4 linked regions of the Pelodiscus sinensis genome follow. The protein of the gene in region 1 purifies or fractionates together with the protein of each later gene. This does not show direct contact. Links are inferred from orthologs where the notes say so. Each region holds a gene or a part of one and is shown in the gene's direction. Other genes may lie near its edges.

What was found.
Region 2: the proteins of E2F1 (region 1) and KAT2B purify together in Homo sapiens (affinity purification with western blotting; 5 studies listed by BioGRID and IntAct, with this or other methods). This does not show direct contact. The link is inferred for Pelodiscus sinensis from reciprocal best matches to the Homo sapiens genes E2F1 and KAT2B.
Region 3: the proteins of E2F1 (region 1) and KAT2A purify together in Homo sapiens (affinity purification with western blotting; 4 studies listed by BioGRID and IntAct, with this or other methods). This does not show direct contact. The link is inferred for Pelodiscus sinensis from reciprocal best matches to the Homo sapiens genes E2F1 and KAT2A.
Region 4: the proteins of E2F1 (region 1) and TRRAP purify together in Homo sapiens (affinity purification with western blotting; 3 studies listed by BioGRID and IntAct, with this or other methods). This does not show direct contact. The link is inferred for Pelodiscus sinensis from reciprocal best matches to the Homo sapiens genes E2F1 and TRRAP.

Annotation. Positions count from the first base shown.
Region 1 is NC_134728.1:34,324,849-34,332,408, reverse strand, and holds the start of E2F1 (transcription factor E2F1), read left to right. Parts: upstream 1-4,550; 5' UTR 4,551-4,744; coding exon 4,745-4,972; intron 4,973-7,560. UniProt on the Homo sapiens protein: Transcription activator that binds DNA cooperatively with DP proteins through the E2 recognition site, 5'-TTTC[CG]CGC-3' found in the promoter region of a number of genes whose products are involved in cell cycle regulation or in DNA replication.
Region 2 is NC_134712.1:191,345,480-191,352,941, reverse strand, and holds the start of KAT2B (histone acetyltransferase KAT2B), read left to right. Parts: upstream 1-4,458; 5' UTR 4,459-4,473; coding exon 4,474-4,624; intron 4,625-4,917; exon of another isoform or gene 4,918-5,051; intron 5,052-6,955; exon of another isoform or gene 6,956-7,109; intron 7,110-7,229; exon of another isoform or gene 7,230-7,244; coding exon of another isoform or gene 7,245-7,383; intron 7,384-7,386; exon of another isoform or gene 7,387-7,401; coding exon of another isoform or gene 7,402-7,447; intron 7,448-7,462. UniProt on the Homo sapiens protein: Functions as a histone acetyltransferase (HAT) to promote transcriptional activation. Has significant histone acetyltransferase activity with core histones (H3 and H4), and also with nucleosome core particles.
Region 3 is NC_134739.1:9,356,823-9,364,177, forward strand, and holds the start of KAT2A (histone acetyltransferase KAT2A), read left to right. Parts: upstream 1-4,353; 5' UTR 4,354-4,387; coding exon 4,388-4,609; intron 4,610-7,355. UniProt on the Homo sapiens protein: Protein lysine acyltransferase that can act as a acetyltransferase, glutaryltransferase, succinyltransferase or malonyltransferase, depending on the context.
Region 4 is NC_134726.1:24,279,303-24,286,820, forward strand, and holds the start of TRRAP (transformation/transcription domain-associated protein), read left to right. Parts: upstream 1-4,516; 5' UTR 4,517-4,664; intron 4,665-5,151; 5' UTR 5,152-5,248; intron 5,249-6,155; 5' UTR 6,156-6,211; coding exon 6,212-6,311; intron 6,312-6,674; coding exon 6,675-6,724; intron 6,725-7,518. Other genes in the region: TMEM130 (transmembrane protein 130), read right to left, coding at 2,595-2,676. UniProt on the Homo sapiens protein: Adapter protein, which is found in various multiprotein chromatin complexes with histone acetyltransferase activity (HAT), which gives a specific tag for epigenetic transcription activation.

The DNA of each region.
Region 1 (7,560 bases):
GGACTTCTGCTACCTCCTCCTCAGAGACCTGATTCCACTGCTTAGCAGACCTCATGCTGAGAGAGGTTTTCTTAGTCTTCAGTTTGGCCTTCAACACTAGAGTATATAAACATCTCCCAAGGATTTAAATAGAAGTAATCTCCTTCCTTATTGTCTTCCTTCCTTCTTGGCCTGCAGAAGCAGCTTGACTAATGGGTAGGCTTGTCAATGTGTGGAAGGCTTATTAAGGAATCATCACCGCCCAGGAAAGATCACATTTAGTCCTGAAAGCGGTGAGGCCCAGGGCATGAAGTTCCCAGTCCAGCTCCTGTCAATGTCCTGGCCCCTTCACTCATAAGCTTCCACTTCTTGCTTACCAGTGCCCTGCAGCTGTTGAAGAACAGGCTGATCATAAAGGGAGAGGTGCCTCTCTGGTAGGTAGGGCCAGTCTCATGGAGGGCTTGGAATATCAGAGCACAGACTGTTCATGGGGCAGCCAGTGCAGAGAATAGACCATTGGGGAGTTCTGACATCTACGGGCCCATGTTGCTGCATTTTCTGAAAGCTGAAGCTATCCCTGGCTCTGCCAGTTCATTCCTAGATATGATGAGTTGCAGTTACTGAGCCTGGAGGTCAGGATCATGTGGCTCTATGGCCACGTTTGCAGGGTAAGATTCAGGTTGTGAGGGGCCTAAGATTAAGGGGAGCGAAGGGCCTAAGTATGAATTACAAATTGAAAAAAATAGTGAGAGGTCCTGTGGCACCTGGGGACTAATCAAAATATACAGAATCCTGAGCTTTTGTGGGCAAAACCCACTTCATCCAATGAATTGGAGTGGAAATAGCAGAAACCAAGAAGTATATATTACAGCAGAAGAAGTATCTGTAACTTGTAGGACCCGTGTTAATGAGGCTAACTAAGTGGGCTGGATGTGTCCCATTAATAGCTTTTGATGTGAAAATGCCCACATATCACAGCCGGCTACGAAGTGAATTTAAAATCCCTGAGAGAAACATTGTGTGTTGAGCTTTCTCCAAGGATTTTGCAACCCCCTTAACAGCAAAAGTTGTGTTCCCCTGTGGAACTAGGCAGAGCAAAAGGGAAGAATTGGATTTCCTGTGCATGCCAGTACAGAAAACATACATCAAAGAAAAACAATTGGATTATTTTTTTAGCACAGTTCAATACAGTATTGAAAACAGTGCATCATAAATCTGAAACTCCTTGGTGAAAGGCTGCTGTAAAAGTCAGAGCGCTGGTATCCAGAGTGGGAGGGTTGGTTTTTCTCAGTGGGTGGGAATTCGTTCATTATACATGGGATGAGGGCAGGGGCCATAGTTCAGGTTGGAGCTGGATGGAGTGTCTATAGATTCTGTGCAAGATTCCCACTGCATTGGTACTGCCTTTTCCTTGTGCCCTGCTCCTCCCCACCTGCCACCTCTAGGCACTCACCAGTTGCCCAGAAATGGAGCTAGCACTAGGACCAGGAGAGAGCGTCCTGAAGCTGTACTTGCCTGCCAGTCTCAGCGGGGAGGGACACAGGCCTAAACTGGGTAGTCTTGCCCTCTCTTCTTCCCTCCTGCTCCCCCCCAACAGCCCAGCAGAGCTCTGGAGAAATGGAAGATGGGGAAACAGGGAGGGGAGAGACAGTGCCTGCTCAAACTACACCCACAGCAGGCACAGGTTCCCATAGTAACCAGACCACGTTTTTAATCTCCGTTTACCACTGTTAACCTGTCCTGCAGCAGCATGGGGACAGACAGAGCCTCCAGGGAACCCGGGAAGCAAGGGACCGTTGCCAGCAGCCGGCTGAGCTCCTGCTAAGCTCCAGGTGCTGCTTTACTTTTCCTGCTGGCAGGAGTGCTCCCAGGCTCCAGCAGGACTACCTGAGCAAACTTACTCCACCTCTCTCTCCTGCCCTGGCCCTGCCCCCTGTGTGGCCTGGAGGGCCTAACGCTATAGCCTTATCAGCCTAATGGTTAACCTGGCCTTGCAAGTTTGTATCCCACAGGGCAGTGGTCTCCAACCTTTTTAAGCACAAGATCACTTTTTGAATTTGTCAGTACAGGATCTACCTCAAACCCAAATAGCCCTGCCCTGCCCCTTCTCTGAGGCCTCGTCCTCTTCACTCTGTGAAGATGGGGTACAGGAGAGGGGGGCGGAGTAACATAAGTGCCCCCTGCCTCTGTCTCCCCCACCCTGCACAACAAGTAGACTCCTAGGGAGTGGCTCCGAGGCTCTTGGCAGGAGCAGCAGGGCAGTGAGAGGAGGAGCAGCTGACATGCAGGCACTTGACAGCCTCCCAGCCAAACCAGTCAGGATCCCCTGTCAGAGGCTCCAAGATCTACTGGTAGATCTTGATTGACTGGCTGGTGACCAATGCCGTATGGTGTGGCATTGTTTTGTGACTAGGCACAGAGGGAAGCAAGTTTTGCCACCAAGCCACTTTGACATCCAGTAGTACTGTGAAGTCTGAAAGGCCCCAGTGGCTGAAGGCAGATGTAATCGGAGGGCAGGTGATCATGTTTTAAAGGGAGATGTTAGAGGAGTTAAATTCTTCAAAGCACTCTGCATGTCCTACCAACATGATTTCCATCCTGCCTGGGGTCAGCACTAGCCAGTCTCTCTATCCAGGAGCCGACCTTGGCTAGGCAGTGGGGAAGTTGCAAGATGGTGCTGTTCGATGTGAGAGGCAGAGATGGGTATCATCTGTGGGTTGCTGGCATACGATAAAGTGGCACTGAAGGCTTTGGAAGTGGAGAAGCAGCTGCTTGTGCCACACTGGGTTTGTTCTGTGGGAAGATCATGAGCTGTGTCGTGGCATTGCCATGCAATCCTACAGCTTCTTGGAGTGAGCTGCAGAAGTGTTTGGTCAGCATCAAATTCCAGCAGGCCGAAGATGGAGATAATCCTTTGTCTATGGACAGGAGGAAACCATCCACCAGAGCCACAAGAGTGTATGGGCAACATGGTCTGTCCCGGAGGGGAATCCAGCATACTGGCAGCCAACACTGAGCAATTCCTCTTCAGCCCTGTCCTGAAGCCAGATGTATTGATCAAACAGGCTCGGGTTTGGGTGGCTTTCCTTTCAAAGATTTTTACAGTCTGCCCCAAAAGGCAGCTTTATGGAGAGCCCCTAGTAGCATTAGCACGGTCAAGTTTCAGATCCAGCCTTCACAGCTGCTGCAGCTCTACTATTGGCAGCAGTGGTGAGAGCTACAAGGTAGATAGGGGGGCAGGAAGTTTTATCATCTAGCTCTCCAGTTTCTCCCAAGGGTGGACAAGGCCTGGAAGGTTGGCCTCAGCCCAGATATCAAAGGAAGAAACTGATTCTGAGGTAGATTGATTTTTATTACAATTAAAAACTCAACCCTCTGCTAAACCGAATTACTGAAAAGCAATAGAGGTATAATGAAAAACTTTGAAAAGCATGTGACTTGCAACCAGTTCTATCCATGCACCTGTAATGCTGCTCCTTGTCCACAGGTATGTGGGGGGGGGGGGGCAGATGTATCCCTATGTGCCCACACATATTTTTGAAGTTCTGTATTTTTTTACCCTCAGTTTCTATTATTGAACAGACTTTCATGGAGATTATAGCTAAATTGCTGGCATACCATCCCTGAGTGGAGACCTCTAACCTAATCTAGCCGAAGCCTGAAGAACACACTGTGTAGAATGTAATTAGAGTTCGGAACTTGGAGAGTGGGTGTGAAATGTGGGGGCAAGAATAGCAAATTGAACTTTGAGAACGAGGACTCCCCTGAGAGGGAGCGGATCTGGATCAGTACCTACCCCCTCGGGAGGTATCCATGTGTTACATACAGTGTTATATAGTTGTACTATGTAGCTATTACTCATGGATACCTCCCGAGGGGGCAGGTACTGATCCAGATCCGCTCCCTCTCAGGAGTGTCCTGGTTCAGATCCGGGCCCCCTACAAGGAAGGGGAAAGGAGAAGGGTGTCTGCCCCCTGCAAGCCGGGCAGGGTGTTTCTGTCCGCGGACACCCCCTCCCCAAACAGCGGGAGTGAGGGGAGCAGAGTCTGCCGGGCCTGGTGCCGGGGACCCAGCGAGCAGAGCGGCGGGGCGGGGCGGGGGCTGCCAGATGGTTTCAACAAGCACACGGGGCACACGTGCCATGACGTCACAATCGACATCCCCTCTGAGTTGGAACACACCGGAGCGTTCTATTGTCTGTCCCCGGCCGCGCGCCGGACACCTGGCAACCGCTGTGCCCGCGGGAAGGGGCGGGGCGGCCGCGCCGTGGGAACAGATGGGAGACGGGCGAGGCGACCAGCCCCCGCACCTGCCCTGGCCGCGGCGTCCCCCAGCTGCGCGCTGATTGGCCGCCCCCCCGCCGGCGCAGCCGCTGCGATTGGCCGGCTGTCAGAACGCTGGGCTCGTCACCGCGGCGCCTCGCGGCCGTCCGGGCCGTAGCCAATGGCAAGGCGGAGCGGCGCCCCCCGCCCGGCGCGGCGGCCAATGGCGAGGCCGCTCCCCGCCGGCGTGTGGCGGACGCAGCCAATGGGAGCGCGGACGCGGCGCTCCGGCGGCTTTCGCGGCAAAAAGGATTTGGCGCGCAAAGGCGCGCGGGGCCGGCAGCGGCGGGGACAATAGCCGGGCCGGGCCGAGCCACCGAGCGGCGAGCGGCGGCCCCGGGCAGGGGCGGAGGCTGCGGAGCGCGGCCCGGCCCCCCCGAGCATGGGGCGCGGCCCCGGGCCAGGCCCCCCCGGGCCGGCGCCGGGCCGGTGAGCGCCCCGCCATGTCTCGGGAGGGGCCGGGCGGCGGCGCCCGCGTGTCCGAGCTGGCGGCGCTGCTGGGGGGCGCCGGGGCCCTGCACGCGATGGAGCAGCAGATCGTGATCATCTCCACGCCGGACGCGCCGCCCCCGCCCGAAGCGGAGCGCGAGGCCGAGCTGCTGCTCTTCGCCACCCCGCAGCCCCCCCGCCCGGGCCCGGCGGCGCAGCGGCCCGCGCTGGGGCGCCCTCCGGTAACGCCGCTCGGCCGCGGGGCGCTCCCGCCTCGCTGCGGGGGGGACGAGGGGGGAGAGGGAGTCGCCCCCCCCCCCGGGGTCATGGGCTCCAGCCTCACGAGCGTCCCGCGCCCTGGGCTCGCTGACGGGCCACCTGTAGCCGGGGGGGGCAGCCCTGTCTGGTGCCAGATAAGGCTGGGAGCTGCCCGTGCGGTGGCTGCAGCTCTCCGGCTTCCGGCTTCCCGCGATAAAGCTCCCAAGCGAGGGAGGAACCGGTAGTAATGTGCGAGCCAGGCCTGGCGAGAGCCAGGCTGCCATTAGCGTGTGCAGAGCAGAGCTCTCTGCCTTCCTGGCTCAGCATTTCTGCTCCCAGCTCTTCACCAGGAGACATGGGCTCATAGGGGACCTGTGAATTCTGGCTTTGAGATCTCCGCTCTCGCATCACACACAGGAGTGACCTGCCCTGCTTCAGTGGAGAGGAATGGGGATTGGGCATAAAATATGCAAATACATTAATAATAGAGGGGGAGACATACACCAGTCATCACAATGTCTGAAAATTGTACTTCAGAGCCAAATCCACTGTGTGGATTGTGTCTCTAGACACACTTCTCAGATTATTCTCAGGTCTCAGTGTGTTGTGATGATACTTTAATGACTGTGGCAGCAATCTGCAGGATAAAGTTAGTCTTGTGAAATTCTGCTTGTCCGCGATGGGAGGGCGTGTGTATACATGCTCAGGCATGTAACTAGAGCCCTGCGCAGATACAAAATTTTGTATCTGCATCTATAGATGCAAAAATATGCTGAGGTTATCTGCATCCACATCCACAGCTATCTGTAAATTTGCAAGATTCTAGATACGGAATCTTCAAGAATGGGCCGTGGACATCAGCATTCACATCCACGGATGCAAATACCTGTGGGTATAAAGTGGGTATCTATGGATTTCCAGGGCCCTACTTGTAACTTCTAAATAATTGTTAGGATAAACTCTGGAGCAGGTGTTGTCTTCTAGTGCATCTGCATGAGAGGGCTTTCATTGTGATTGGCACCTCTGGATGCTATTGTAGTATAACAAATACTGACTGCTGTGAAGTATGGAGGGCTGACCTTTGCATCCATGCAGACACCCATTGTGTTCAGTGGGGCTCCTGGCAAGAATCTGCCCTTGTAGTTCTTGGTGCAAAATCAGGGTCCCACAAGGCAAGGCTGAACCGGAGCCTTCCTTTCTTTTGGTTTCCCGAATTTGTTTTCGACACATACGCACGGGTCAGACCAAAGATCCATCTAGCCCGGTACTCTGCCTTCCGACAGTGGCCAGTGCCAGGTACCCTAGAGGGAGTGAAGAGAAACAGGTAATCATCACGTGATCCCTCCCCTGTCATCCATCTCCAGCCTCTGGCAAAGGCTGGATAAATACGTAAATAACTACCACCGGCAATTAGACTGAAGCGAAGTGACAAGGGCTTGCATTTCTCCTTCATCATGGCACAAACAGAACACTGTATGGGATCCTTCTTGTGCACTTGGAGATTATTTTGAGCCATCATTTGGCATTGGCCATGGTCAGTGAATGGATCCTGGGCATAATGGGCCATTGTCCCAGTATAACATCCCCAAGCTTTTAGTTCAGTCGAAAGTGGGTGGGGGGAGGAGGAAAAGACCACAACATGCTTTGATAGTTAAACATACCATCTTCCAGAGGCTTGGAGTTTGAGGGGCCGGCGGCAGCTTTACAGCTGATCCTTTGTTTTAATTGTTTGGCTCAAGAATCCATAATGAGCCAAAATTCCCTGTTTGCTGTCTCCCTGCTTGTGGGGAGTGGGTGGTTGTGCTGGAGGCGCTGCTGGTTTGCATGGTTGGAGTGCGGTTTCATGGAGACGCTTTGCTGGTGAAACCCTGAAACCTGAGCTGCTTTTCTCCTAACTGTAATCAGCAGCCTGGTACCCATGGGCAGCTCTGCACCTGCACCTCTGGCAGGGCTGCAGCCTGATGTTTGTGGGCAGTGAAACTCTAAACACCCTAGTGTGCATGAGCAAAGAAAGGGGGCAGAATTATTGTTCTGAGGTCCCCTGGGTGCTTTTCAGCAGTGCACTGGAATTTAGATAGCTGATGGTCAGCTGTCTAGGGCAGTGTGAGCAATAGCTCACTTGCTCCACGATCACTCAAGGTGAGATACTTCCCTCCAGATACATGTCACTGGGCCTTGGGGCGGGCGGGAGGGAGGTCTCGAATTCATCTGTTTCTGTGCTGTCAGACGGTTTCCTTCTAGTAATAAAATAGGCCCCAATGACCGAGTCTCCGCCTCCTTCCCAAATGTCTCCTTCATGAGCCAGATCCTCTTGTACTAGAGGCAGGGTAGTAACCATGCACAAAGTCTTGAAGTTCTCTTGTCCCTGTGGTCCCAGGCAGATAGCTGGAATGCTGGTCTGAGCTGGCACCAATGGGTGATCAAGTCAGGCACTCCACTTGGGGTTATCCTGGAAGGTTCTGATCGCCGGTTGGTGCGTAGCTTGGATCTTTGTGAGCATGTGAGCGGCATTGTGACGGCTCGTTCTTACGAGTGCTGCTTGTGTGAAGCAAGTGGGTGAAGTCTCCCATCC
Region 2 (7,462 bases), on another chromosome or scaffold:
CTCATCCCAGTTCCAATCTTTCTCCAACCCTGTCTCCCAGTTTCCTATTGAGGCAATTTGTTCCAGTTCCCACCTGGCTGTAGAGTCTTAGTCTTTCCCCACATTGGCTCCATGTCTCCTTGCCCAGCCAGTCCCAATTTCTACCTCATATAACCGCAGTCTCCTCACACTACCAGTCAGAGTCTCCTTACCCAGCCAGTCCTTGTTTTAATCTACTCTTTCCCCTGCTTGGGGAGGTCCAGCTCTTGTCCTTTCTTCATTCCTCCATGCTGCCTGTGAACCAGAAGGGGGACATTGAAATCAGAGAAGAGAGGGAGAGAGTCTCCCTGTTCTTAGATTTAAGACCTGAACCTACTGGATCAGCAGTTGCAGAGAGGGAAAGTTTTGTTCAATCAATGCAGCTCCAGGATATAGCATGTTCAGCGTTGATGGAATTGTCAGGGAATTTAGTTGTCAATCACTAATAAAGTCTCTACTGAGCATGTGTGAACTGAGATTTTTCAGAGGCGTATAGCTTGACAGGTTTGGGCAGATTTGATAAGAAAGGCTAAAGGCACACATCTCACACCAGGGTGACTTTCCCAGAAAATTTCAAAGCTGCTTCAAAGCACGAGGGTGCAGGAGTGTTTGAATAAAACACATACGAATTTGTTTAATGGATGAAACAAATCTTATTCTTGGAAACAAACACAAAATTAAATTAAATTAAATCAGCCTGAAGTGTGGAAAAAATCCACTCAAACAGCTAAAGCTTGGCAAAATTATAAGTGAAAACAAAATTTTATAATGGAAAGTGACAAACAACCTTATCTATAGGTGGCACAACCAGCTCTGCTTATAATGTGTAATGACTAAGAAATCATGCAGATGGTTTTACAAAACAGTTAAACTCCCTCCTGTGCTTACATTACTGTAATGTGACGTATAAAAAACACATCTTGTCTAGCATTGCCTCTCTAGATAAATAGATTCTTGTGTATGTTGGTCCTCAGATACAGTCCTGATAGGTACAGTATAATAACTGAGAAGTGCTGTGTATAGCACAGCTAACTATAGCATGTAGCATTGTATCTAGTAAATACACATACGTGCTGCGTATGTATGAATACTTATATACTATATATTGGAGACAGTTTGTCTCTGCATCTCTATCTGTTTTTTCAAGAACTCCTCCTAAATGGTAAGAGCTAGGAACACCAAATTTGGTATATGGCTTCCTCTTCTCCTAACCTAAAGCACAGTCAGGGTTTGGTTGTGCCAGGAAAACCAGATATGCAGGGAATGGAAAGGGAGGGGCTATTCAGATGGACGCTATAGTCATAGTGGCCACTGGAGGTAGCAAGCACTGGGAGCGCTAAATGGCAGTGTCCCCACTGGGGGAGTTGCACCACCTGACAGAAACCCTCCAATATGTTTAAGATGCCTCTGCCTCTGATTAAATTGAGGCAGGAAAAATCATTTTAAAAGTTATATGTGGACACCCCGATCTGTGATCAGTAACATCTGCTACAATATTGGCAAACACTTAATATTTTTCTAACATCATAATGTGTATTCTCCCTCTGCAGACTAACAGACCAGTAGCTTTTGCTCTCAGGCTGCAGGAACGATTTGTATGAGGGAGATTGTGCCTCACTGAAATATGTACAGAAAGCTTCTCTATACAGTGGAAATAAATGTCCATGTAACCCCTGCTTGCTGGAAGTGGTGCTCTGTCCCTCTCTGGTGGTGAGTAGGCCCATAAAGCAGGGGTACTCAACACGTGGCCTGCAGGTGGGATTCTTTGAACATGGCCTCCACTGGGAACATGCAGCACAACAGTGAGGCGTCTCCCAGGCAGGGTGAGCTTGAAAAATGCAAGCAGATGGGCTGGCTGGAACAATACAGGGTATTGGCGGTTCTAGCCCTCAGGGAGGAGGTGCTGGGAGCACTGGGACATTGTAGGTGCTGGCTGCTTAGCCTTGTGGGCAGAGCCTGAGAGGTGCTGACTGGCTCATACTAGCTATGTTTGGGTTCAGTGCTGCAACTTAAGGCTTAATCTTTGTATTCAAGCCTGTCAGTGTGAAAAAAATTATTTGCATATATATTTGCATGCAAATGCAACCACACTTAAATTGCAGCCCTCAGCATGTGCTGTATCTTTGTGTCCCCTGGGGCTTCCAAAGTTGAGTAGCCCTGTCATAAAGATTCATGAGCCCACTACAGCCTTGGCCAGTGGTTCTCAGCCCTGTGGCACAAACAGCCCACAGCTTGGACCATGTGACATGCTCAGGGCCATACAGATAGTGTACGTGTGTGTGTGTATATATATATATATATATAGAGAGAGAGAGAGTTTGGATGTGGCTCACATAACAGGTAGAGAGCTACCTAGGGCTATGTCCTCACTATCAGGTTATTTTAAAATAAAAACTCCCGAAATAACTATTTCAAAATAAGCTTATTCCTATTCACAAGCAGGAGTTATTATTTTGAAATAAAAAGCCCATTATTTTGAAATAATGGGTTTGGTAGTGTGGATGCTCGCCTTATTAGTTTGGAATAAGGGGAGTGGTTTCAAAATACAGTAAAACTCCATTGGTCCAGCACTCCTGATGGTCCGGCACCATCAGGAACCCGGAAGTGCTCCGGGCAGCCGGACCATTGGAGCTGCTCTGCCCCCGGCTTCTCTGATTCAGCCACTACTGAAACTGACCAGCGGCTGAATCGGGGAAGCTGGGGGCAGAGCAGCTGGAATGCTGCCGGTTGGTCCTGTAGCGCTGCTCCTCGGTGCTGCAGGACCAACCCGGCAGCACCCCAGCTGTCCCCGATTCAGCTGCTGCTGAAACCGACCAGCGGCTGTCTCCCGGAAGCCCTGGAGTCTGCCGCTGATCAATTTCAGCAGCAGCTGATTTGGGGACGCCTGGGACAGAGCAGCTGGGGTGCTGCCGGGTTGGTCCAGTAGCGCCGCCACTTGGCGCTGCGGGACCAACCTGGCAGCACCCCAGCTGCTCTGCCGCAGGCGTCCCAATTCAGCTGCTGCTGAAACTGACCAGCAGCGGCTGAATCAGGGACGCCGGGGGCAGAGCCGGACTATCGGAAGGGGGGGCTATGAGAGGTCTGGGGTGGCATTCCCCCCACACCACCCTAGACCCCCTCATAGCCCCCCCCTTCCGATAGTCCGGCAAATCTGATAATCCGGCACCCCCTGGGTCCTAAAGGTGCCGGATTATCGGAAGTTTACTGTAACTCCCCAATGTAGACATGCCGTGGGTGGCGTACAATGGTAAATGGGTTGAGAATCACTGGCTTGCGCTAAAACAAAGTGTTGTTCAGCTCATGCAGTAAAAGCTAACATGCTAGTGCATTTAAAAGCTTCAGAGGACCCAGATTTGAACCTACTACTGAAACCCTTTTGGAGGTTGATATTATGCACATATGAAAAAAAAAAAGTTCTGGGTATTGTTCAGATTCTGTGATTAGGGGGCTCTCTGCATGCTTCTGTTGCAGCCTGCATATTTTGAACTGACCGATCAAAAGAGTTGGTGATATCAAAAAGGCCTGATGTAAATGGGGGGAATTTCCAAGCTAAATAGGGGGTAACATGTTTTACAGTCTTGGTTATGCACAATAACATTCTGGTTAAACTAAAATCAGATTTTAAATCAATGTACTTAAATCCTTGTTTTCCCACTGATGGATACACTTACATAGGAAAATTGTACTAATTATACTGATATGATTAAACAAGTATCATTATATTGGTATAAATCCTCATGTGAACACTTTCATAACAGAATAAGTGTGTTTTCATGTCCATGGTGAGTGTCCTATTGTCTTTATTCATATTTGAAGATTAACTCATGTTTTTCCTGTTTGTTTTTTCTACATCAGAAATATCAGGTCTTGACTTCCCTATTTCTTCAGGAGGGCTGAAGAAATGCAGAGAAATAGTGAGGTCACAGTATATTGAAACTGTGTTACAGCTTTCTAAGCCCTAAATTGAGTGGGAAAGCAATGAGAAAACTTAAGATTCCTGCCTACTGTGATATTTCTATGCAACACCAGGGCTTTGAAGAAAAGACCTGATATTGCTGATATGTTTAAATATAAAAATAAAGCAGAGAAAAACAACACTTTAAAATGTGAGGAAAAATGTCACGTCATTATTAAAGAGAAGCAAAGGGGCAGAAACAATATATTTGCTAAGCAGTTTATGTTTGAGGACCAGTGGATTACTACTATAAAATGTAGACTATTTGGCTTCTGACAGACTACTTATATGAGCAAAGCTACTTAAACATGTAAGTGTTGCAAGCTGCCAGACCATAGGATTGTGGGCCTGAAGCCACAGGCTAATATTGCACAATTCACCACAGTCTCAGTAAACATATTAGTTCTGGGTATTGTTTTACTGCTGTTACTCTTAGAGCTGGTCAATACTGGTAAAGCATATAGTTAATCTTTATCTCAGGGGTGGGCAATAAAACGGTGATGGTTCACATGGGCTATCCCCTGGGGGGCCGCTGCCGCTATATTTACCTGCCCCTCCTCCTTAGGTCGGAGAGATCACAGCTCTCCTGGGCCGTGAACAGTGATCCGCAGCCAACAGGAGCTGTGATCGCCTGTACCTGCGGAGGTGCAGGTAAATATGGCAGTGAGGGGGCCTGCAAGGGGCTAATCCTGGTAGACTGGATCTGTCCTGCGGGCCAGTATTTGCCCAGCCCTGCTTTATCTGCTATTGCTACCATTTGGCTATATGGTTGAGCAAGGAGACGCATGAATCACATATTTTCTAAGTTGTGTACATGCCACTAATTAAACTGAGGATCAAATCTCTGATTTGTAATGAAAACTAAAAGCTACAAATGTTATCTTTGTGTAACTATTAAGAATGCAGAATACAAATGGAAGAGCCGTATGAGCATATTTCCTTACCTGTGTCATTCCTCTCCTTTCTCCAGGATGTGCTCCTTCCTCCCTTACCTGTCATCGCAGTCACTTCAACTGTAAACTGTTTGGGGCACAGGCCCTTCTTTCCTGAGCTTGCTCTGAAACTCTGTTTATGGTTGTGGGCACTACAAAGTAATCTTTATTACAAATAAGAATAGGATGACTGCAGGAAAGGTGGTTGGCTGACGTACCTTTGCTGTCTAGCACATACTGGAGGAGGAAGAGAAGAAGATGATGTATCTCTGAGGTCACAGTCTCCCTGAAAATGTCATCATAATATCACCCAACAACATATTTTGTATCCTGCCAAGGCTACACTGTGGCAAATTCTCCTTGAACAAGGATCATCCTCCTCTTCCTCACCCCCATTGTTTTTCATCTGCTTCCCTCCTCTCCCCTCCTCCTGTCTCTCTCAATTGTCCCTTCCTTCTCTGTCTCACACTTCTTCCCAAAGTTTGCTCTTCCCTGTCCCTTCCCTCCTGGCTCCTCCTCTTCCATGTGCCAGCAGTGTGGCCATGCTACTGGTGCTATCACATCACTGTCAGGTCTCCTCTCCTTCTGAGGGGTACTCTATTCTCTCCACATGTAATACAAGGACAGGCTGGAGGTGACTTGAAAGGGAATTATTTGTACTACAGAATGTTGATACTCCCAGGACCATTACAACCCTCTAGCTTGCCTGTCACACGGCTTGCAGCCACACAAGTGCTGCCAGTGGGAGCTAATATTTGCAGCATCACAGGTACAGCTCCTCCTCTAAGCATCAGTAAGTAAAGCCCTGCAAATCCATGGATATCTACTTTATATCCACAGATATCCACAACTGTGGATGTGGATGCATTTATCCATGGCTCATTTTTGCAAATATGGATGTGCATAAAACCCTGTGATCCAGCATTTCTCAAACTGTGGGTCCTGACCCCCTGGGGGTTGCAAGCAACTTAGAGGGGGATCGCAAGCAACTGAGAGGCTGGTTGCAGCAACGGAGAGGGGGGTCGCGATATCACAAGTTTGAGAACCCCTGCTGTAATCCTTGAAGTAACAGCTATGCCCTGGACATGGTGCACTCTGTGCTCCCCAAAACAGAATGCCTCATTTGTATGTACTGCACTATTACAGCTTGCACTGCTTTGTTTACACTAGTGCAGGCTGAAGTGGTGTTAATTTGATCCACAGATACTGAAGCAATTCAGAATGGCTTCCACCATAGGTATGAGGTGACCACAATAGGAAAAGCTCTAATCCCTTTCCTGGACAGTTGCAGAACAAAGCATACATGTTTTCATAGTGTAGCTACATGCATTGGATGGAAGTCAGTGGCTGTGCCTACCTAAGCATTTTACTTTCTCTTGCAGTACCGTAAAACCAACAGTGCAGTTCCAATGCTGGCAGCAATAGAAAAGCACTAGAACAGTCCAGCTACTGCATTTTAATCTTGATTTGGGTCAGAAGAAATCTAGATATCACACATGAGTGGTCAGTGAAGATAAGGCTGGGGGAGGTAAGCCTCCAGCTCCAGCCCCCAATCCCACCCCTTCAGCTGAGCCCCTCTCCACTCATGGGAGCCAAACCATCTCTCCGACCCTCACTATGGGGAGGGGAAGAGGGTGTCTGGGCGCACATGCCGCAGCCTCCCCGGCCTGGAGCACAGGGGAGGGAGGAGGATGTGTGGGTTCAGTCTTCCCAGCCCCCAAGCACAGGGAGGGAGAAGGGTGCATGTCTCTAACCTCCCTGACACTTGAGCATGGAGTGGGAGAAGAGTGGGTGGAGTGGCTCCAGCATCCCAGGTCAGGAGCACTGGGAGGGTGGGTGCTGGGGGCAGTAACACTCTGCCCCCAATACGCCTATAGCAGGTATTCTGGGGGGGACTGTGGGGGGGGACAGGTTGGCCATTTGGGAAAGCAGAGTCTTCTCCCGCTTATAATACTGGACGCTCATGATGTCACAATGATAAGATGCTAGTGGCCAGGCTATTCTAGCTCTCCCACCATCACTAGCACTCATGCAGCTGCCCTGGTGGTAGTATATGCTGGGAGAAGTTAAGAAAGAAAAACTTCTGTGAAGACAACTAGCCAGTTGAGATGGGGTCAGGAAAAGTGCTGAGAAGTGAGATGTCCTACATGATGCAGGACCCTTAAGAGGCCTACCTGACAATGAACTATTCAGAGCAGTAGCAGGTGAAGAAGACATGAGCTGTAACAATGCTACCATCTAACAGTGAGCTTTTCACAGAACAGTAGTGGCAGGAAAGGGAGAGACAAAGTTATTAGAAAGGCCATATTTCTCTGCACAAAGAATGCCAGAATTATATAATGGGGAATTCTATTCCAGGAAATGGTGACTCTGAAAATGATGTGGGTGCCATAGTGAATAATCATCTGAACATGAGCTCCCAGTGCTCTGCTGTTCACAGTTCGAGGAGGATGTTGGTAAAGAAGACCCACAAGAAAGGTTACACATTTAGAAAGCATGCCTTATAGTGACAGACCTAAGGAGCTCCATCTATTTAGAAAAGGTTAAGAGGTGATTT
Region 3 (7,355 bases), on another chromosome or scaffold:
CAAGATAACACTCGGGTCATGGGCTGACACAGCGGAATCCATGGATTTCAACAGAGAAAAGGATGATAAAAGGCGGGTGCTTTGCTATGGAACTTTGGGTTCGTCTTGCCACCAACTCCAGAGGAGCATCGGCTCCATCGACCAACAAAGGCCCTGCTCTCCCTCTGTGTTCAATCTAGCTGGCCACTAGACTGATACAGAATCGGGACTGGTAACTATAACACCGTCTGGCAAGACTGTGTGTATGTTTGTATGTGAGTGATTGAAAAGCATATGCAGCTGTTGTATTCTCAATAAACGCGGCGTACTGCCTTGTCCCCGATAAAAGATCTCGTGTGCTTCGTTAAGCAGACAACACAAGTGTCCCCCTCTCCCTGTTGGCTCCGGGCTGTGCTGCTGGGTGACGATTCTCTCTACGTCTCTCTGGTTTGTGTTGCTCCTGGAATAAACCTGTTCTCCCCCAGGTCCATTGGCAGTGCACTTTCTAGAAACCTTTTTTGGGCTCTAACAGACTCTACAGTGGGTGATGTGACTCTGCTTCAGTGCAGGCTCTAGTTCAGTGTTTCTCAAACTTTTTTTTATAAAGTACCCCTTTTTAAAAAAGTATTATAAGTACCCGCAGGACCTACGGTTTTCAGACACACTATTTTTTTCTATCATTGCAACACATTTGTTTAAACAACTTAATCGTAGCCAGGCGGGTGATGAAATTTTTGGGTGTAAAAAGTACAAAAATAAGAAAGCGCTGTAAAACTTACAACAACAAATCAGTTTTCTCCAAATTTCAGTTGTGTGGACATACCCCCCAGCTTCTCTCAAGTACCCCTAAGGGTACTCGTACCTCTGGTTGAGAAACGCTGGTGTAGTTCAGAGAAAACAGGAGACCTGCAGGGATCGCGAGGCCCTGGAAAACAGTCCTGGGTGTTTGGTTGGGTGAGGATGGGAGTGAAATAGCATCAGGGCCCTGTGCAGTTTCAGGCTGGGAAATGTTGAGCAGGTGGTGGGAACAGTGTAACAAAGGGGAACTAGGGAGGAAGGGATTAAAAAGAGGCGTCAGAAAGATTTTCCTGATGCCTAATCTTTGAGCAGAGGTGGTGGTAGAATTCCCAGCTGGATGTTGCAGTAGGAAGCCAGTCTCCTCTGCCGCTAACATTTTTACATCAAAAACTAAGAATGGGACACGTCCAGCCCTCTTCATTAGCCTCATTAGCACCGGCGCTACAATTGACAGGTACTTTCTCCTAGCCCTTGTTATAAATCTCTTGGTTCTGTTATTTCCACTCCGGCTCGTCTGAGGAAGTGGGTTTTACCCGCGAAAGCTCGTGGTACGACATGTTGTTAGTCCCTAAGGTGCCACAGGACGGCTAGTTGTTTTAAAAGTGGCAGACTAAGATGGTTCCCGCTCTAAGACCTGTCTGATCTGTTTTTGAAAACCTCCCCACACTTCTCAGGGATGGTCTGGATTTATTTGGTCCTGCCTCGGCGTGGGGGGCTGGGCCAGATGTCACCAATGAGACCCTTGCCAGCCTACCTTTTCGGAGTCTGTCGGGGGGGTGGGCGTGGCTACACGGCTAGAAAGCTGCTCTGCAGGTCAGTGGATTTGTAAGGTAGCTGGGAGGGCTGAGCAGAGAGAGGGTTCGTACAGCCCCCAGCCTAACAATGAGTCCTTGGCAGACAGACCCTTTCCCACAGCCTTGGTGCCAGCCTGTTAGTCACAGGGTTGTCAGCTCTCCTCACCTTACCAGCTGTGGCCCTGTGACGACGCGTTGGGGCTCCCGTCTCCTGCACCCCGAAATGGCACGAACAGGCTCCACCAGCCGGTAGAACAGAGGTGGTTTATTGCTTCTCCAGGATACAGCACAGCACAGATGTCATCAGGTTACAGGGCAGGCCTAGGATGCCTCAGCCCCCCCTTGATATGGGAGGGGGTCTCGGCTTCTAAACCCCCCAGCCTGTTGCTGAGGCTGCCTCCTCCATGCTCCCAGCCAGAAACTAACTCACTCTCCTCCAGCCTTGCCCCCCAGCCAGGGCAGCATCCACCTTCCTTAGTTCCTCTCCATGGGGGGTGGCTGGTCAGACAGGTTGACACACCCTTTGCATAATGACTCATCCTGTTTTGCTGGGCCGTGGTACCAACTGCAGCCAATGGGGGTTCCCCCAGAGCCAGCAGCGTAGAAACCAGCCAGGTACCCCCACTACGTCACAGGCCCCAACCCCAGAGTTTTCCTGAAAGGCCCAGTGCCTGCGTGACGCCAGCAAGCTCAGTGCAGTATTGTATCTCTAGCCCCTAGTGTTCCCAAGGCCAGCTGGACCCCTGCTGCACCCCAAAGCGGTCCTGGATGGAGACTCATGTGAAGCCCTGCCCTGCTTCCAGTGACTCCACTGGTGTGTGCACCTTTGGGTGGGGGCTGCGGCACTTGGCTTCACTCTGGGATGTGGGGCTGGGGGCATGGGTGAAGGCCCAGCTGGGGAAGGCAGCCGAAGCCCCGCCCCTTCATCCCGAAGCCACACCTTTTGCTCCCAGTCCATGCCCCGTCAACAACCTTCCCACCCAGCCAAACTCCGCCCCAGTTGAGAGCCAGAGCTACTGTGTGGCATGGCCTCAGCTCTCCCCAGCCACGGGCGAGCTGGGCTGCTGCACTACACGGCCCTGGTCCCTCCCAGGTGGCTGGGCATTGTAAACAGTTTTGGGAAGGCAATGCCTTTCCTTGCCTACACTACCTGCCACCCATATGGGGGGCGCTCCAGCCATACTGTCTATTAGAGGGGTTATTCCTTCACCCTTCCACTTCCCTGAACCTTCTCATGTGAACAGAGAACAGCAATACTCAAAGCCCGGAGATGCAAACAATTTCATGTTTATTGGGGTTCGCTTCCAGCAAGCACGAATCCAGTTTCCTTTCCTTTTCCCCCCTTCTTCCTTTGTTTTTTCCCTCTTACTTCCTGTTTGTCCCCACTGCACATAATAATATTTTCAGGTATACTTTACCCAATCATTCTACTGATAGATAACAAATCAATCTTAACTTATTGTAACATGATTTTCTCACCAATTATCTCACCGCCGTAATTGTTTTATACCCAGCAAAGTTAATTATACAGCAGACAAAAGCAATCAAACAACCAGACAGAGACCATCCGGATAAATGATAGAGAGAGGGGGATTTCACAACCCCAACTATTGATAAGTGGATCCTTGCTGGTCAGAAAGCTATCAACCTAAGTTTCCTTTAAATCTTCTTTGCACTTTCCTTTATCTGGAGATGATCGTTGGACGGCCTTTCTAACAGCACAGAATTGCCTTATTTCAATGTGATTTGTTTGGGTGGATCAAGATGTGACTGCACATTTCCTAGTTTATGGATTCTCCTGCTGCTTAGCCAAAAGCCTTAGCTTAAGAACAAGGCCTGGACAGTCTCATATTTGCGGCCGCTGTCTGGTAAAAAAAGGAGAAAATATCAGACACGTAAAATGTCCGGTATTTTCTGTTTTTCTCAGATGGCAGGCTGCTTAGGACATTCCTCCCCTGCTGCGTCTGGCGGGGGCGGAGGGAGCGGCGAGCGAGGGAATTTAAAACCCTAGCACCTCTTTTTTTGGTGCGTTTTTTGTTTTTGGGGGTTTTATTGCTCAACAACTTTGGTCTCCTGGTTTTTTTTGTTTTGTTTTTGTTTTTGCTCAACCACATTTTTTTCCCCTGCCATGTTCAGTATTTTTCTGACAGTAGCTGGCATCCCTAGTTGGGTTGTCAGATGGTTTAAACAAAAATACTACACCACAATCTACATTACATCATTTAGAAAATAAAAAACCAGACACTTGGCAACCCTAAATCCTAGTAACAGACCAGCCTGAATAGCTATATCCTAATACTCCAACTTTTTTTTTAGGGGGGGTGGAGGTCGGAATGGGGTTATTCCGGAAACCACATAGGACATATGGTGACACACTTCCTGATGGGGTCAGAGCAGGAAGCTAGGGCTCCCCCCCGCACCCTCCTGGGAGGTCTGCACCCCACATGGTGGGAACCTCCAGTCCTCCCTCTTCCCACGTTATTGGGGGGTTCGCACAGTTGGGGGGGTTGGTAAAATGAGTTTACTCTGTATAAGCCCCTGCAGTGTGGGGGGTATACTCTGTGGAAGAGGTGATTTACCCCACAAGGGGGTGCTCTGTTGGGGTCCCCCAAGAGGGCTAGCCCTCACTAACACCTGGCAGGCTAAACTAGTCGGGGACTACATCTCCCAGCAGCCCCGCGCGGCGCAGGCGCACTGGCGGCCTGGGCTACGGCCTCGCCCGGAGCAGGGGAAGCTCCGGCCAAGGGACTACGTCTCCCAGCAGACCCCGCGCCGCGCAGGCGCAGTGGCGGCCTGGCGCACGCCGCGGTCCCGGCATGGCGGAGCCGGAGGCCTCGCAGCCCGGCCGGACGCCGCCGCCGCCCCCCCCCGGCCGCCTCCGGGGCCGGGCCGGGCCCCACAGGGGGCCCCGCGGGCTCCAGCGACCCGGCGCGGCCCGGCCTGAGCCAGCAGCAGCGCGCGAGCCAGCGCAAGGCCCAAGTGCGGGGCTTCCCCGCGCCAAGAAGCTGGAGAAGCTGGGAGTGTTCTCGGCGTGCAAGGTGCGGGGGGGGGAGTGTTCTCGGCGTGCAAGGTGCGGGGGGGGGAGTGTTCTCGGCGTGCAAGGTGCGGGGGGGGGAGTGTTCTCGGCGTGCAAGGTGCGGGGGGGGGAGTGTTCTCGGCGTGCAAGGTGCGGGGGGGGGAGTGTTCTCGGCGTGCAAGGTGCGGGGGGGGGAGTGTTCTCGGCGTGCAAGGTGCGGGGGGGGGAGTGTTCTCGGCGTGCAAGGTGCGGGGGGGGAGTGTTCTCGGCGTGCAAGGTGCGGGGGGGGGGGAGTGTTCTCGGCGTGCAAGGTGCGGGGGGGGGAGCGTTCTCGGCGTGCAAGGTGCGGGGGGGGGAGCGTTCTCGGCGTGCAAGGTGCGGGGGGGGGAGCGTTCTCGGCGTGCAAGGTGCGGGGGGGGGGAGCGTTCTCGGCGTGCAAGGTGCGGGGGGGGGAGTGTTCTCGGCGTGCAAGGTGCGGGGGGGGAGTGTTCTCGGCGTGCAAGGTGCGGGGGGGGGAGTGTTCTCGGCGTGCAAGGTGCGGGGGGGGGAGTGTTCTCGGCGTGCAAGGTGCGGGGGGGGGAGTGTTCTCGGCGTGCAAGGTGCGGGGGGGGAGCGTTCTCGGCGTGCAAGGTGCGGGGGGGGGAGCGTTCTCGGCGTGCAAGGTGCGGGGGGGGGGAGTGTTCTCGGCGTGCAAGGTGCGGGGGGGGGAGTGTTCTCGGCGTGCAAGGTGCGGGGGGGGAGAGTTCTCGGCGTGCAAGGTGCGGGGGGGGAGCGTTCTCGGCGTGCAAGGTGCGGGGGGGGGAGCGTTCTCGGCGTGCAAGGTGCGGGGGGGGGGAGCGTTCTCGGCGTGCAAGGTGCGGGGGGGGGAGCGTTCTCGGCGTGCAAGGTGCGGGGGGGGGAGCGTTCTCGGCGTGCAAGGTGCGGGGGGGGGAGCGTTCTCGGCGTGCAAGGTGCGGGGGGGGAGCGTTCTCGGCGTGCAAGGTGCGGGGGGGGAGCGTTCTCGGCGTGCAAGGTGCGGGGGGGGAGCGTTCTCGGCGTGCAAGGTGCGGGGGGGGAGCGTTCTCGGCGTGCAAGGTGCGGGGGGGGGAGCGTTCTCGGCGTGCAAGGTGCGGGGGGGGGAGCGTTCTCGGCGTGCAAGGTGCGGGGGGGGAGCGTTCTCGGCGTGCAAGGTGCGGGGGGGGGAGCGTTCTCGGCGTGCAAGGTGCGGGGGGGGGAGCGTTCTCGGCGTGCAAGGTGCGGGGGGGGAGCGTTCTCGGCGTGCAAGGTGCGGGGGGGGGAGCGTTCTCGGCGTGCAAGGTGCGGGGGGGGAGCGTTCTCGGCGTGCAAGGTGCGGGGGGGGGAGCGTTCTCGGCGTGCAAGGTGCGGGGGGGGAGCGTTCTCGGCGTGCAAGGTGCGGGGGGGGGAGTGTTCTCGGCGTGCAAGGTGCGGGGGGGGGGAGTGTTCTCGGCGTGCAAGGTGCGGGGGGGGGAGTGTTCTCGGCGTGCAAGGTGCGGGGGGGGAGTGTTCTCGGCGTGCAAGGTGCGGGGGGGGGGAGCGTTCTCGGCGTGCAAGGTGCGGGGGGGGGAGCGTTCTCGGCGTGCAAGGTGCGGGGGGGGGGAGCGTTCTCGGCGTGCAAGGTGCGGGGGGGGGAGCGTTCTCGGCGTGCAAGGTGCGGGGGGGGGAGCGTTCTCGGCGTGCAAGGTGCGGGGGGGGAGCGTTCTCGGCGTGCAAGGTGCGGGGGGGGAGCGTTCTCGGCGTGCAAGGTGCGGGGGGGGAGCGTTCTCGGCGTGCAAGGTGCGGGGGGGGAGCGTTCTCGGCGTGCAAGGTGCGGGGGGGGGGAGCGTTCTCGGCGTGCAAGGTGCGGGGGGGGGAGTGTTCTCGGCGTGCAAGGTGCGGGGGGGGAGTGTTCTCGGCGTGCAAGGTGCGGGGGGGGAGTGTTCTCGGCGTGCAAGGTGCGGGGGGGGAGCGTTCTCGGCGTGCAAGGTGCGGGGGGGGGAGCGTTCTCGGCGTGCAAGGTGCGGGGGGGGGAGCGTTCTCGGCGTGCAAGGTGCGGGGGGGGGAGCGTTCTCGGCGTGCAAGGTGCGGGGGGGGAGCGTTCTCGGCGTGCAAGGTGCGGGGGGGGGAGCGTTCTCGGCGTGCAAGGTGCGGGGGGGGGAGCGTTCTCGGCGTGCAAGGTGCGGGGGGGGGGGAGTGTTCTCGGCGTGCAAGGTGCGGGGGGGGGGAGTGTTCTCGGCGTGCAAGGTGCGGGGGGGGAGTGTTCTCGGCGTGCAAGGTGCGGGGGGGGTGTTCTCGGCGTGCAAGGTGCGGGGGGGGAGTGTTCTCGGCGTGCAAGGTGCGGGGGGGGGGAGTGTTCTCGGCGTGCAAGGTGCGGGGGGGGAGCGTTCTCGGCGTGCAAGGTGCGGGGGGGGAGAGTTCTCGGCGTGCAAGGTGCGGGGGGGGAGAGTTCTCGGCGTGCAAGGTGCGGGGGGGGAGCGTTCTCGGCGTGCAAGGTGCGGGGGGGGGAGCGTTCTCGGCGTGCAAGGTGCGGGGGGGGAGCGTTCTCGGCGTGCAAGGTGCGGGGGGGGAGCGTTCTCGGCGTGCAAGGTGCGGGGGGGGAGCGTTCTCGGCGTGCAAGGTGCGGGGGGGGAGCGTTCTCGGCGTGCAAGGTGCGGGGGGGGAGCGTTCTCGGCGTGCAAGGTGCGGGGGGGGAGCGTTCTCGGCGTGCAAGGTGCGGGGGGGGAGCGTTCTCGGCGTGCAAGGTGCGGGGGGGGGAGCGTTCTCGGCGTGCAAGGTGCGGGGGGGGGAGCGTT
Region 4 (7,518 bases), on another chromosome or scaffold:
TATGGAAATCGGTGTGATGGTTTGGGCTTGGCAAGTCATGTCAGAGTCAGTCGTTCATTTGAAACAAGACCAGTTTTACTTTAAACCTACAAAAACAACAAGCATTCTTCCTCTGGCTTTTTCAGCACAATCCAGAAACTGAAGCTCACAAGTTGAATGGACAAGCCAACTCTCACAAGTTTATCATGAGAAACGTGATTTCTAAAGAAAAATAGGTCTTGCCCATGATCTTGTGATTGAACTCTCAAATCTCAGGATTTTTTTCTGCCCGGGCTGGGTGATCTCCTGCTGTCAGCCGCTGGCGGCTGAGAAGTCCATTGTTAGCTGTAGGTGGTAGTTCCCATGGCAGCCTGCGAAGTGGGTGAGGGGACCAACTGCTATCCCTCCCACCCCAAAGCATGGGGAGAGTGAAAAGATGCAGAGATGAGACTAGAGGGACTGAACTATGCCAGAAGGGTGCAGGGGGGGCGGTGAAGTGAGGAGCGTGAGGGCTGATGGGGTAGAGGGCCCATACTGATGGTGAGTTCTGAGCAGATGGATGAGTGCTGGGAGGATGGACTGATTGTGGTGGGGTTGATGGGGGAGGGTGGCTGAACTGTTGATGTGGTGATGATGGGGGGCTGGGGAAGTGAACTGAGTGGGTCTGAACTGAGGGCACTGGATGGGGAGAGAACTGACGGGGAACTGGGGAACAGGAATAATTGCTGGGCAGGTGGTGGGCAGATGTGGGGTTGAGAGCTCCTGCAGCAGGAGTCAAAATAATCGTATACAACGCAAGTTGGAGAGAGGGCAACACTAATTGTTACATGCTACCCCCTTGGGAGGGCAGAGGGAATTCAAACATTAAGAGACTGAATTAAAAAACAATATAATCTTTTTTTAAGTCATGATTTTTGGGCCAATCTCATGATTTTTAGGGGTCCAACTCATGATTTTAGATCTCTTGAAGTTGACAATACTGTACAAGTTAATACCATATTACTTTGCTCAGGGAATCCCTTTATTCACTTTTCCTGTTAGGGTCAGGCTTTTGTAGCCATACCTCCATTTCAAGTCACTCCTGCTTCATTTAAAACAAAAACCAAAACCAAAAAGACCACAACTTCAGTGCAGAGAAAACATTTTGGGTGAGCAGTTCTGATGCATGTCTGCAGAGCTCAAATTTTAAATAGAGTCATTGCTGGCTACATTTTTCCTTTAATCAATGTTTTTCTTAGCACAATTTTGGACTGAAGATTAGTGTCCAAAACTAATTACAGATTTCATTCCTGTATTTCCTTATTAAACCCAAGAAAAAAAATTTCCTTTAGCCTTATGTGTAACAAAGTTAACATACTTTGTTTTATGGTTCTCCACTAACCTTTTCTTTTTCTACTTCTCTCAACCTGGGTAAGAACCAGTCTCCGACCCCAATTTAAAGGAAACATTTATATCCTAAATTGCGGTGTGGTTGAAAGTTGGTCCTGCTGCACTGAAGGCCAATGAGAAAAAGGAGGGAAAATCCAAAAAATTGTGCACTGGCAGGGAGTAGTAGGTGGTGCAAAACTAGAAAGACTGAAATTCCTGCTGAAGGTGACCTTTTAAAAATCTGCACTTAGTTCACTGTCCATTTTGCTACAGCAAAAATTGGGGAAAATACCAGAAATCAGTGGCAGATCTAAAAAAGACACTGGGGAGGGGACATATTGAATAAGATAACGGAGTGGGAAGGAGATTAAGTGGCTAGCTCAAGGTCACACAATATATCAGTGGCAGAATGAAGTATTTAACCCAGCTCTCCTGGCTCACTTTTCAGATGCAACACAGCAAAGCTAGGAAGGAGCAAGAGGAGGGGCAAGCTGTCTTAGTCATTTGTGACTAACAGCAGTGAGGGAGCAGAGATGCTTCACTGCATCCCAATCAAGATGGAAATAAAGAAGGGAGCTGATAGATTCAGTCTTGTCTGAGATCCCTTCCTTCCAGAGTTGCTAACTAAGCCTCACCATGAAGAGGCAGTTCCCACATCATCTGATCGAGGTTTGTGGGTGGAAAAGGGCAGACATAGCTGCACCACCCCCCTTTTGTTCTGCCAGAGAACTTACTCATTATTGCTAGCTTCTCACGGGAAGATGTCCCTTTGGGGTGCAGCTCCTTCACACCTGCTCCAGTTATTCAAGCAGGATCCTGAATACACAATCCACCCCAGAACAAGAAAACAAAGTCTTCCTTATAAATAACCAATGTTCAAGCTAGGAGGTTTAACTATACCCCTTCGTTTCAGAGCAGGGTTTTATCACTCTCCACAGAAACCTAGCACTGCAGAAATTAGCAGCAGGCAAAAAGATCTCTCATTTAATCTGTTCCCTTCTCTCTCTCTCTCTCTCTCTCTCTATATATATATATAGGAGAAATATGACACTGCAAACCTTGCTGAAAATGCAGATAGAGTATTTTATTTTCAGGAAAACCATAGAAATGCTCAGTTGGTTTTGGGCTTGCCTGGAAATAAATATTCATTCTGTGTTTACAGCAGCATAAGATTGCTTTTTAGGGCTGAATTCTAATGACCCCTGGCTCATTAGCCCTGGATTGAGAAAGGCGCAGATCTACCTTACCTGCCGCTGACTTGGAATGGAAAAGGAACAGCACCATGCAAGTCACTTGGAGGATGCTCGGGGTGAAAAAAGCCAGGGCCATTTGTAGTCAGTGCCCCGAGAAAACTGCTACTGTCTGTTCAGCTCCGATAGCCAGACTTCATCTTCCAAGTGGGCTCCACTCTGTCTCCAGGACCGGGAGGAGGTGGGTAGCAAGTAGTCACTACTGCTGTCACCTAGAGGCAATGTGGATGTACTGCACTGTCTGGGTTTTTTTTCTTGCTTTTTTTTCCTGGCAAATCCTGCCCACGCCTAACTAGTTTAGAAAAGTTGTATTAGACACCTGTATAAACCAATGGATTAGAAAAGGAGGCAGAGAAAATCCCTATGGGGGTGCTAGTGAAAAGCTCCTACAGCTGCAAAAATTTTGAAAACAGTTTTCTGGTACAAGGTAATAGAATAAATGTATTTTGGTATGCGTGGCCATGTGTATCTTGCAGATTTTTGTATAAAACACCACGTTAAAAGTTACAACAGACTGATTTCTGTAGGGCTTAATATTCCATTAGAAAATAGGTGACGTAGTCTGCCCAAATCCTGTATCATATTCCTGATGGTTAAGAAAAATGCTGCCTTAAAAATCTTTCTAAAACAGATGAGTAATGAATTTGAGTCATACACTCATAACACAGTGCAAACCAATAACATTTAAGACCCCAATCTTGAAAACTTGTAAGTCTCTGGATGCAATTAGACTCATACAATAGACTGGAACTACTCCCATGCAGAGATACAAACACCTAGGTTTTGGCCTTATTTTGCATGAGATCCTTCATACAAACTAGATGACACTAGGATTTTGGAGAATCATGGCAGGCTGGGTGGATTAGCTGCTTTTAATAAAAATATTTTATTGTACAATAGTATAGTACAAAGCATAGATTGAGAGAGATGGGTACAGCACAAAATATGAAATAGCTACTTTATTATTAACTAATTGCTCCTTGCAGTATACCTTGCTAAGTTGGATGACACTTCTATAGTTTGTCATGCAAATAAAGTTTCTGAACTTGACTGCTATCCAGGAATACTTCTTCCACAACCCATCTTCCAACGTTTATACTTTATTCCCTTCTATTTTCTGTTCTACACCCGGCTTATTAATCAAAAGCCACTGAACCAGTAGAGCTGTCTTTCAAAACAAATTAGGGAGAATTTTGTTGTTGTTGCTTTCATTAAAATCCAGCTGTTGGGTCCAGTACAGGTCTATGGAAGAATATATACTGATATCTCAGTCTGTGGATCTTCACCCAAAGAGCGGGGTAAAAATGATGATACACAGTACAGGCCAACAGGGTATTCCAGGAGTTGACTTTCTGTATCCCGTGTTCTTGCTTCATTCAGCTGTCCCCGTCTCCTCCCTGCTCCTGTTTCTAGTGGGAAAAGCTGTGTGTGTCCGATCTGTTGAGGCATCTTTGGTCTCGGCATTGAGAGCCAAGCGCGTGTGGCTGTGAAGCCTCCGCTCTAGCACACAGCCCGGGGAGCCTGTCGCTTTCACAGCAGGGCGGATGCTCCGCGCTGGGAGCCGCTCTGCCCGGGAGCTCCCGCGGGGCCCGCTACAGGGCGCTGCCCGGGCCCGCTGCAAGGGCCGAGGGTAAAGGCTGGTGCGGGGCTAATGGACAAGCCAGGCCGGGTCTGGGCGCTCTGCCTGCGGCGCTAGCTGCTGGGCTGCCCGGCCGCGCCCCCCGCTTTGCGGCCGGAAGGGATCCCCGAGCCCGGTTCTCGCGTGTGGTGCGGAGGGTTCGCAGCGCGCCCAGCCGGGGCCCCCCTCAGACCGTGACCGGCGCGCTGTTGGGAGGGGGAGGGGCCACCCACGCGCGCGGACTAGGGGCCGAGCGGGGGGATGCTGGCGGGGCGGGGATGCGCGTGCGGGGGCGGGGAATGAAGCCGTTCGCAGGCAGCGGCGGCGGCCGGAACTGAACCCCGGCGGCTTCCGTCGTGCGTTGGGGGCCCATGCGCCGCGCCCGGCTGCGGGCTCAGGCCGGAGGGCGACAAAGGAGGGGCTCTCGAGCGAGGAGGCCGCGCAGGGAGGTAAAGCCCGGGGCGGACTGCGGGGCAGAGACCGGACTCGGCGGTGGGGGGAGCTCGGGGACTAGGCCGCGGGTCGGGGTGTGTGTCTGCAGGGGCCGCGCAGGCAAGTCCCGCAGAGGCCCTGTCGGGGGCTGCCCTACAGCGGGGTGCGCGTGTGTGTGTGGGGGAGCCCTGCCCTAGAGTGAGCTGGGCGCCCTAGACCTGGTAGTGGGCGCTGGGGGAGACTGCCCTGCTGGTGATGGGCAGGAGTCTGGCGTTGGAGTATCGGGATGGGGATGAGGGAAAGGATGTGAGGGGTGGGGAGGCTTAGCTTGTGGGGCTTAGGGATCTAAGGCTGGAGGGTCAGGAGATCTGATCTGAAAGGTTGGGGAGAGGGCACAGATGCCAAGGGCTTTGACCTCAGAGCAAACCCGGGTTGGTAGAGGGAGATGCAATATCACCTTTATGCCCATCTTTAAGATCCATAACTGGTTTCACACAATTACAGAGCAAGAGCACTAGCTGGAATGGGGTCAGCATAGATGGAGTCCAGTCAAAGAGAAAGTGGCACCCTCAATCAGGAGAGAGCCACCAAGACAGAGAAGGTAAGGATAGAGAGGAGCTGAGACTTCAAGGTTGTATTTCCAGTGCTGTCATGAGCTGCCTTCCTGTTTAGGCTAATCACAAAACCTCAGTGCTCCCTTAGCTGTAAACGAGGTAGTTCTGTAATCACAAAAATGTCAAAAAACTCCTGTAAAGTTCTGTGACATTTTTGCGATTACAGAACTACCCATTTTACAGCTAAGGAAGCACTGAGGAACAGAGAGGTTTTGTGATTAGCCTAAACAATCAGTATTTGCATAGAGATTAAGAAAGATGTAGTTAAAAATGCAGTGTATTTCTATTGAAACATAGATTGATTTGAAAGCTAAATCAAATTAAGATGTTGGATATGATAGAAAATAAACATGGATTGTGAAATGAGGTCAGCAGTAAAGGTCTGTAACACAATGAAAACTAAAACCAACTGAGACGCTACTGCTTTGAAGTTCTTTTTACATATTAGGAACTCAGATCATGTTTGTGGAAAAACTTGATTGAGGTACCCTGAAACCTTGTTGAGAGGTACTTAAAAGGACATTATCAATTTGAAATCTAGTCAAGTTAAAATATGTTGTTACACTTTTTATGTTGTGTATCTTCTTCTGACTTCCCTATGCCAGTTTGTGTGCCTTTATCACTGTATTTTCCTAACCCTTAAACTGTTATTCTCCCCTGTTGCCATTTGATAGACCCATACAAAGAAAATGGAAAACTCAGTATGCAAATCTGTAAAAGATGAAGTAACCTTTTTTTCTCTTATTTCAGTTAATTAGAATATAAGTTGCAATTGTATGTAAATAAATATGACAAATATGACTTTTAAATTGATGGTGCCCCTTTAAAATAAGATGTCACAGGACTAAATCACCAATAAGCTGTCATATTTACAATGTTTTTTTATTTTTGTAGGTGGGCTGATTTTTTTCAGTTTTTTTTAATATACTCAAGTCTGGTCCAAAACAAAAATGGCCTTTGTTTCAACGCAAGGGCCCACCGTGGTTGACCAAACCACTTTGATGAAGAAATACCTCCAGTTTGTGGCTGCTCTAACAGATGTTAATACTCGTAAGTTTATTTTCCATTTCTTAAGGAAATGTGATTCTTTACTCATTTGCTTCAGGGAGTTCTGTAATATTGTCTACAGAGTTGGTTGGTAAATTTGAATGGAGTTCACTTTGCATTTTCTTTATCTTTGATTGTTTGAAGAAGCAAAATGATGAGCATTACTTACATGAGCCTTAGAGTGAAGTGTGTGAGTATGAAATGTGAGTATGAAAGTGTGTGATTGTGAGAAATGTGTGATTTATAACTGGGCAATGATAGCTAAACTGATAAGATCTGATTGCTTCTTTTACCTGTGAATGTTTGGTATTTGTCAGGTTTTTGTCACATATATTTAATTTTTCACTCAAATTTGTGAATTTTCAGCCGATGAAACAAAATTGAAAATGATGCAAGAAGTCAGTGAGAATTTTGAGGTAATTGCAAAATTAATGTATTTCTTGAATGATCTAAATGCCACATTTCTTGTTCTTGGTGTGTATGTCATCTGGATTTCTGATCCTGTTTTTATTGTTTAAAAAGGAAATACCGGTTTTCTTTGTTAAACACAGAACCAAAGAGTAATGGCTATTAAAAGTTAAAACATATACTAATTATTAAGTTTAGAGTGCATTACAATCCACTTGCAGAATTATTAGAGGTCCGTAGCTTGTAGCCTCCAGGTTTTTTTCTCAAATATTTGTTTGAACAGAAAATCTTTGTTTAGTACATTTTGAATAAAGAAACTAATCAAATGTGTTTACTGCATAACCTTGATACATTTGTCTGTGGAATTGTTTCTCTAATGGAGTTCAGATGCACATTTAGCTCTCCAAGAAGTGGTTTGCTTGCTTTTTTTGTATTGAGTAATGCAACAGTTGAGAGGTGAGAAGGAGGAATTGTCAAGTGTGGATTCCTTCCTTGAGGACTGCAGTGAAGTGAAGGTGATAGCACTGACCCTTTTTCAGTTCAGCTGATCAGGGGAAAATAGCTTAGGTTCATTTGGGATGCTTAAGAATACCACGTAGAAATACTAGATTTGCCATTTGTTGCTCAAGAAATGGCACCATTATACAATATTATGCTAAAATCTGAATGGAATCCCCTGTTTTTATGTGTTGCTTTTATTTAGAAGTACTGAATTCTAGGTACTTTAGCCGAATAGAATTTAATCTGGAATACTTGGGCAAGTATATCCACATTAATAAAAAATGTCACATGATATTTAATG